Linked DNA regions of Schizosaccharomyces pombe. The gene in region 1 interacts genetically with each later gene. Each region holds a gene or a part of one and is shown on either strand. Other genes may lie near its edges.

Region 1 (5,030 bases):
GTAGTATTTACGTCGGTTTATTCATTTTTAAAATATTTTTTCTGGCAAATTGGGATGTAACTTGATCGTTTTGCATACTCACTTTTACTTACCTTAAACTTAACAAGTTCGAGGTACGCTTTTGGAAGTCGTTTTAGATACTTTTAGGCAAGGTCCCGAGCTTTGTTGATTATACGTTGACTATTTGGAAGATATGTTGAAGTTGAGAATCACACAGTGAGTTGGTACAGTATATATACGAATTGTGGGGTAGTGCTTACACTCAATATAAGGTTGTAGCATTACGCAATCGATCTCAACGGGCATTAAAGATCGAACGCCGATTTGTCAAGAACGACGACTGGCTAAAATAGCAAACCGCAGGACAGTGCAAAGCAATGCGGAATAAATTCCTAAAACTCGTATAGTGGCTTCTTGCTACACTACTGTAAATATTTGGCAGAAAGAAAAGCTACTGTACTATTTCAACTCTACAATGGAAACAGATTATACAGGCAGCTGTACAATGTAAGAATGAAAGTGACAGTTGTAAAGTTATAGTTCAAGCCTCAAAGAAAAAATATTTTGTATATTATATATATGTATATATGTATATATTTATAGATGAACTCATTCAACTATAAAACTTCCAAAATCTTCCTTTCCTCTTTTATTGAACAGCATGGCTTTTTTTCATAAAAACATAACATGAGCAAAACAGCAATCGAGAAAATGATACCTTAGCTAGAGGATTTGTTTAGACTGAAAAACAAAAACAAAAAGAAGATGATGATGAATTCAATTGGCGAACGGAAGACACTTAAAATCCTTTCGAGTTAAAATCAACAGGGAAAAAGAAATGAGGAAGCGTCATATACAACAGCCTTATCATTGTCATCCATAAATTCTATTTGCACACAAACAATCACTAAATTTAAGCTTCTATATCGTTTAACTCGTAAAATAACCACTATTCGTATGTATGCATGCACGCATATATCATAAAGTCAACGTAGCAATTCGTGGTACGGACAACAACTTTTCCCGCGCATTATCCGATCCCATTCAATATAAAGATGTATGTGGGGAAGTACACATTGAGTCCAAGGGATATTTGGGCAAAAGGTAAATCGCATCGGAAAGTCGAAAGCGAAGGGAAAACAAATATTTGTATCTCTGAAATAAGCCGAAGATTTGATTGATCAATTTTACAAAACATCGAGCAAAGTGTGTCGTTAGTAGCAGTAAAAGAAAAAGATGAAGATGAATAAAAAGCTCTAGACAAATCAACTTAAATCTTTACTATGAAACCGTTAGGAATATAGCTTGAAAAAGCTCTCTGAGAAAAACTTATTCGTGACGTACAATCTCAGAGACAAGCTCTCCCTTTTCATTCACCTTGTGCTTGATCTGCTCGGGAACAGCACGTTCAGCATAATCTCCCTCTTCGTTGGGGACGTTGATGTTCAAGCTTGTTGATTTACTAGTGACAACTTCGGACGACAACGAAGATTTGCTCAAATAGATGGAACCTCCATCGCATTGGTCGATAACAATCATTGGAACGTGATTCATAACTTGGCAGCCAAAATTGGAACACTTAGCAATATCAAAAGCGGCCACTAAAGTATCTACTACAACGCTAGTACGTTTACAGTTGCTCATGGAAACGGTGTTTAACTTTCCTTTAATTATAATTGTGCAATTGGAGCAACCGAAAATTTGCACTGAGTGGTTGAGCTCCACAGAATCCAAGACTATACTGTGATTGTCGACTTGGTTTTCAACAAACCACTTAGTATTTTCCAACTCAATGCGAGGTGGTTTAACGGGAGCAGTTTCCGCTGGCTTAGAAGGAGCAGAGCTTTTGATTTTAGGCTTAGGACCAGGAGTGGGTCCCGTTTTACGTAAATTCGGATTTTTGTGGGTCATTTCACTCTTATCCACCTTACGAAGTCCGGATGTAATTCCCTCGCCTTTATTAATTTCGGCAAACACCGCTCCCATATCACCTTTATTATCAGCAGGTGCGGGCTCGTTGCTATCCTTCCAAAAATCATTAGATGGAGGAGGTGGTGGTGGTGGTGGAGGCAAGCCGCCGTTTGCAGAATCGCCAGAAGATGGTGCCTGAGTTTTCGAAGCAGACAAGTTTGCCAAAGCCGTTTTCAAGGGTACTGCATCCTGTTTAGTAGACCAGGTGAGACCGGTTTTGAAGTGGGTCTTGACGTATGTAATCAATTCAGTCAACAGAGTAAGGTAAGAACGAACCCATTCGATTTGCAAGTCATCTTTACCTTTAAACTCTTTCATTACACGGTTGGCGTAGAATTGGGACGAATCTTTCATTTCAGACATAAAGGATAATGGAGTGGGCTCAACTGTGACCCAGCCCAAAATACTAATTCCACTCATGACGGTAGAAAGTTGATTGAACTCGGGGGCGGTGCGGTGTTCATCTCGAATATTGGTAATAGTGAGCAGTTCAGATTGGATAGGCTTGAGGAATTCCAAGAGTTCCGGGGAATCCATGTCGGGTTTCTGGGCTTTCAAAGCGACGCTCAAAACCTGACGTAAAAGGTTAAAAGCCTTCTCGACGTGTTCACTTTGTTCGGCAATCAAACCACCAATTTTTTTACTCAATTCCATGTATTTAGATAAATACTTGGAACAAAATTCATCGTAGGCGGAAATGGAAGCAGGAACCGCTTCAACGGCAGAGGTGGATGTAAGACTTCTGTTCCGAGGACTGATAGCAGCCGCAACTTGATCATGTAATGATGCGACAGCAGGACTACCAGTCGACACGGTTGGGGCCGTTGGAGTACCAATGTTGAAGGATATGTTGTGGGTTTGACTGTTTGAATCTCTAGAAGGACGATGCATGTTGGGAAGAGGCTTATGACCACTTTCCACAAGATCCTCCAAACGAGAAGTTGCCGCTTCCAGTCTATATGAGTAAATGTTAGATGCATAATCAATTAAAGACTATTACTCTTTTAGCAGTTTAATGCAATTACATACCGTTTGAGAATCGTGGTAAAATTGTAGCCTGTTTCACGTATATTGATCATATCCGACATGGTTAGACGAAAAGAAAATGTGTTTAGCGGAGGTTAAGTGATTTTTATAATGCAACGCAACAAATATAGTAAGTGTGGTGGTGGATGGAGGACGAAGGAACATAGAGCCGGCTTAAGCAATATGAAACTCGGTATCGAAAAAAGCGACTTAACCTTTTCAGCTGTAGTATAAACTAGCGTTTTTATTATATAAAAAATTGAAAAAACGATAACTATTTCCCTCTTTTGAAGCTAGAAGAGCTACTGGCAATGATCGTGTCTTGGCTGTGAACAAACATAAATACTTAACATAAAAAAATAATTCCATATTCGCGCTGCACCTTACTTTAGCCAAAAAAAATGTAATTATTAAATGCACCGAACCTCTGCTGAGATGAGTCCAGAGATTATCGAGGTAAGGTTTTTAATCTGGCAGCTTCGTCTGTTGTGCAATCGAAACTATATACGCTTTCTGAGTTAAAAGATTGGAAAAGAGAAGCAGCGATGCCGTTGCTGAGCTTTTAATTTTTGACGTGCTGTTTACAGTCGCTAAACTTTTGACGAAGTTCAATCCTTTTCCTACATATCCCTATGCTTACTCTAAGTATAGTCTCATTGTTGAAATGTTAATGCCTCAATTTTTTAAAAAGAATTTGTTTACGATGAAAGTGAAGGAATGCAGTTATTTAAACGACTATAATAACATTGCCTGTACAGTATTGGCAAATAAGACCTAGCAAAACAACGTTGAAAATTATGTTGATTTATAATTTAGGAGTAAATTGATTTTACTAAGTCATTTTACATTAATCATACTTTTATTTATTAATTTAAATGGCTGCTGGCAAATAAGGCGGTACACACGCATTTGTAATTTTGCTGTACTGCGTTAATGTCTTGAACCCTATAACGTTTAAGGAAAGCTAAGTTGGGGTGAATAAAAAGGGCAGTGACAAAATAAATGTGTCAGAAGCAATTGCATTTTGAAAATGAGTTTTGGAATTCTACTTTTCACTTGCTATTATTGAAAAAACAGTTTGCTTTGAAACGAGTATTGCTCATTTATTTATGTTGAGCGGCGGGAACTGAACTCCAGAGTGAATATTCTTGATTTCGCTGTTTCGTTTGTCGCAATCACAGCAATTAATTCGCGCATGTGTTTTATTAAATAAAGAATTATCTTGATGAAATGAAGAATAATTACACTTCCTTGAAAAGTCCTCTAGATGAAGAAGATGAATTGAAGACAGATCATGAAATCGATTTGGAAAAAGGCCTGCTTCCAGAATATAATTCAGAGGAAGAGGGCGCATTACCTCCATATTCAGGTAAGAATTGTAAATAATAAGAAAGGAATTACTCAATTGAAAGTTGAAACTTGCCATTGCTGTAAAATAACTTGGATGTGATCATTGTTTATAGTCGGCCATGCATGCACACACTTTGATACATGCACTTTCTTTACTAAAGTATTTCAATCATATTAATTTAAACAGATTACGCACGTGTAAGCAATCCTCCTAACATACATAGAGAAAACCATTCTTCCGGGACGACAGATGATTCTTCCCCTTTTTTGATTAAACTACTAATATCATTCACTCCAATCGTTCTACTCAATGCTCTAGCAGTTTGTTATCTAAAGTATAAAGACGCTTTCTTTAAAAATTATGGTGCAGCGGAATGGACGTTATTTGGATTTTGGTGTCTTGTTTGCACTTTGGCTTTAATATTCTTGACTTGTAAGTGAGACAATGGGGTTAATCTTACCTTCAGTCACTAACTCATTAGACTTCTATGAAAAGGGCCAAGGCAGTTAAAGTAACTGTAAATTTCTTGGCACAATGTGTAAAGGTAACTGCGGTCGGCTTGTACAACTCAAGGGAAAAATGGGTAGTAATAATTTGGCTATTATGGGTAGTCATTTGCTATACACTTTTTCTTCGCGCCAAATTCGGTAACCTGAACTTATACAAGGCTCTCATCTGTTCT
Region 2 (4,190 bases), on another chromosome or scaffold:
TTATTAATTAAACCGCTGTTATAGGAAATTTTCATCCTAACTATACAGCTATTATATTTGAACTTGCATACTTATTTTCATGTTTTCCATTTTTACAACAAAAAAGAAAAAAAATTAAAACAAATTTAGTCCTTTCATTCATTCCCCAGTGCTTTCAGACGCTTTTTATAACAATTCTCCCTTGAGTTTCATTTCTGTTCATAGTCTCATTATTCTTTATTGTGTGTTGACTTCTTTTATTTTTAAACAAAGGTTCATTTTTATTGTCGTTCTCTTTTTTTTTTGAAATTCTGCTACTTTCTCTTGGAATCCCCATCAACGTGTTACCGAATTTGATTCATCATTATTCATACATCTTCCATTTTTGTTGGACATTCGCTGTCTCCAGTTTTTACTTTATCTTCCCATTTTAATAATGTGAGTCTTTACATTCATGGGATTTCCACGTCGATTCTTTTTTATTGCTTAATGGAAACGATTCTGACCGGACATCGTAATTAAATCTCTAACAAAGGCTACCTAATTTATACTTCCTCATCCGTTTACTATTTTTTGCTTTAATATACGTTAAGCAATAGAACAATTTACCATAGCATATTAACAAATCTAATACACTGTCATTCGTTCCCTATTAATCATATTTTTGCTTTGTAATTTATTTTTTTTATTATGGAATTAAAATATAAACGGTATGAAAGTCGTAAAAAGAAAAACACTAAAAATAAACAAAAGTCAAGAGACATGCGTATTTAATAGTACGCATCGATAATCATAAAGAATATGCAACAATGTTTGGATATCGAATTCATACACATAAATGAGGTGTCTCAATCTATGAAGAAGCAGCTATGCCGCGGTGTTGCTTTATAAGCATAAAGCATAGTCGAGAAAAAGACAAAAGACCAAAGGAGTAAACATGAACAAGGGAAATGCATTCGCGATATACGGAAATTTCTACTTGGAAATTTCAAAATAAAAAACAACTGCGCACCAACGATAACAAACACAGGTGCTAGTTCAACCACACAGAAAGTTTTACTTATATAAAGGAAGAAAAAAAGCATAGAAAAAGGAAAGAAACGAACTCGCATTTAAAAAATGGAATTGACGAGATCAGCGCCAGCAGTTGCACCAGCACCGAATACAAATGCAGAACCCAAACCACTACCAATCTTCTTGAATGTTGATGAGTGCTTGTGCTCGGTCGGTTGTGCAACCACGATGGGTTGTTGAGGCGCCTGAGGATAGGCTTGGACAGGTGGATATGGTGCTTGCTGAGGTGGATATGCTGTTTGCTGATACTGCATGGGAGGTGCCGAAGAAGATGCTGCTGGGGGATAGTTTTGCTGTGGTGGAGGAGGAGGAGGTTGAGCTTTAACGGCAGAATCTTCCAACAAACGCACATAGTTAGAAGGGAAGATTCCTTCCTTTCCATTCAATTCACCACGCCACCAATCGTTATTGACATGCTCAAGTACAATGATAACTTCGCCAGCATGGAAACCTAAATCACCAGCATCAGGGCCAGGAAAGTCGTACATCGCCAAAACCCGCTCAACGTTCTTATGGGCAGTATTGGGTCCAGGATAGCTGGGAGGAGGGGGAAGCTTCTCGGTAGATGAATTGACACTTGAAGCCTCGCTTTGCTTCTGTGGGGCAGGCACTCCAGGCAGCTTACGAGGTTCCTCGGGTGTCCTCTTTTCTCCAGAGTTTTGAGACAAAGACATTGCTGCTACGGCAGACGCTACCGATCCTGCTCTTTTTTCCACAGAGCTCTTCCGCTTGGGCAAGGGAAGGGGTACTGAGGACTCAACAGGTTGAGCAGCTGGAGCAGTTACAGGACTAGCGGGACCGTCCTGTAAATGGATATTTGCGTGAACCCAATCCAAAGCACTCCTTTCAACTACGCCCTCATCAACAAGGAATTGGAAGTCGTTGTAGATTCCACGAATAACATGATTCAGGTAGTTTTTATGATCCATATTTCTATGGAAATTTATTACTTAACTCTTTAAGATCTCAAATAAAAATTATTTCAGTTAATTCTTATCAATCTTTAAAAGTTTTGCTGATTAGTGGTAATGGCGGAAGGTAGGTTTACAACTACCGCTTGGTGTGTATACCTGGTAGGTATATATATGGAAAAAACATACGAAGATCGTGGCGCCAAAATTCCAATGCTTTCCACCGGGGCTGAAAAACAATGCAATTTTTTTTAAAAAAATCCTTTTATATAGTAAAATGAGAACTTGTGTGCCATAAGTTTTCGTTAGAATTTTTCAAAAAATTGAATTATGTGAGCAAGTTATTAAGTGGAATTATTTTTAACTTAGAACATTTGAACTGTCAAGTTCAATGTATCAGGAAAAAATATTGAAAATTTGAGAAAGAATTTTTTCCTAGGTATGGCTACAAAATATCGAACAATTTGATGAAATAGGAATTTCTAACCATTTGTTATGTCTCAATTAAATTTCGCCGTATGTAGAGCCTTTGCTTTCAGATATTCGTAAAAACATACAAAAAAGCATGGCACTAGCTGTGTTTTCGTATAAATAAAAAAGGTCCTTAGTATAGTTATCCAGACGATATTTTTCAATTTCAAATCTCACTTCAGGTACCTGAAAACATCCCTAAGTAGAAGTAATATTTTTGTATCCTGACTTGAAATCTGGGCTTTTAAAAAAATGATTTTGGTGCTTTAGAATGCTGTGTGAATTGAATTTTCAATCTCTCAACAAATGCGTCTCAGCGCAGTATAATTGGTTTCCAACGGAAATTTATTATTTGTCAAAAATAAAAATAAATCTCACAAGTTGTGTATATTTGACAATTCCAGCAAAGCCGCATAGACGGTATGCATGGTCTTTATTCTTCCAAAAAAAAATATTCAATAATCACATACTATAATATAGCGATTTGAACAAGCTAAGTAACCGTTTGAGTAATGATTCTTTCATTTATAAGTCATTCTGATCCTTGACGAAATTCATATTTTGTGTCTATTTTCATTCGTATTAAAACTTAGATTACATTGAAATTACAGCATTGGAGAAGCGGCTATATGCATATGAACTCTTTAAAGGATTAGCGATAAAATTACGTTTTTTTTGAACGCTAAAATGTTTGCAGTAATTTTGGTGAAATTCTATTTTCAACGTCTTCATTACCACCCAAATACCCATACTGACGTGAAATTGGACTAACTTGGAGAGGCTTATTCTTTGTGAGAAATTGTTTTCTCCGTTTTGTATTTGAAGAGACAGAAAAGATTTTAAATTTTTTTAAAACTTGCTAGTCTTGGTTATACTTTTGTTACTGTTTTAACTTCAGTTTTTTGTCTTGTCCAAATATTACGATTTTTGAATCGATTGTTGGCAATCACTCAAATCAAGTAATGTTTCGAAGGGGTTTAGTTTTCTCTAGGCATTGTCATTACAGCTTGATTCGTCCTCGATTTCCTTTGAATCGTACGTGCCTAGCGCGTTTTGCCGACGGTCGCAAAAATCTAGCTACTGACAATCGAACGCAGACATACCAATCATGGCGTGGAATGATTTCTATAAGAGCATTGCTTCTTGCAGCTGCAACAAGCGTTGGCCTTTATGCTTATTTCCAACATGAAAAGAAAAAAGTGTTGGAGAGGCAAAACGACAAGGTTTTGGCTACCATAGGTCGTCCCCAATTAGGAGGTGCTTTTTCTTTAATTGATCATCATGGAAATCGAGTTACTGATAACGATTTCAAGGGAAAATTTTCCTTAATCTACTTTGGTTTCACCAGATGCCCCGACATTTGCCCCGACGAGCTCGACAAAATGTCAGCAGCTATTGATATTGTAAACAATGTTGTTGGAGACGTGGTTTATCCTATTTTCATAACCTGTGATCCAGCCCGTGATCCTCCGCAAGAAATGGCTGAATACCTTGAAGATTTCAATCCTAAAATCGTTGGTCTCACAGGATCCTATGAAGAAATAAAAGATATTTGTAAAAAATTCCGAGTCTATTTTTCTACCCCTAAGAACATTGACCCTAAAAAGGATGATTATCTGGTTGACCACTCGGTATTCTTCTACTTGATGGATCCAGAGGGTAAGTTCATTGAAGTATTTGGTCGCAACTCTACCTCTGAAGATTTAGCTCGTGCAATCGGTTCTTACTATTTGTCCCGAAAGAAACAGAAATAAT

What was found.
Region 2: mutations in cap1 (region 1) and lsb1 impair growth when combined (synthetic growth defect), as found in Schizosaccharomyces pombe (one study listed by BioGRID).

The regions. Positions count from the first base shown.
Region 1 is NC_003421.2:423,218-428,247, forward strand, and holds cap1 (adenylyl cyclase-associated protein Cap1), read right to left. Parts: upstream 3,146-5,030; 5' UTR 3,060-3,145; coding exon 3,001-3,059; intron 2,927-3,000; coding exon 1,330-2,926; 3' UTR 535-1,329; downstream 1-534. UniProt on the Schizosaccharomyces pombe protein: The N-terminal domain binds to adenylyl cyclase, thereby enabling adenylyl cyclase to be activated by upstream regulatory signals, such as Ras. The C-terminal domain is required for normal cellular morphology and growth control.
Region 2 is NC_003423.3:720,362-724,551, forward strand, and holds lsb1 (SH3 domain-containing protein), read right to left. Parts: upstream 2,094-4,190; 5' UTR 1,983-2,093; coding exon 1,092-1,982; 3' UTR 646-1,091; downstream 1-645. Other genes in the region: copper chaperone Sco1, read left to right, coding at 3,398-4,189.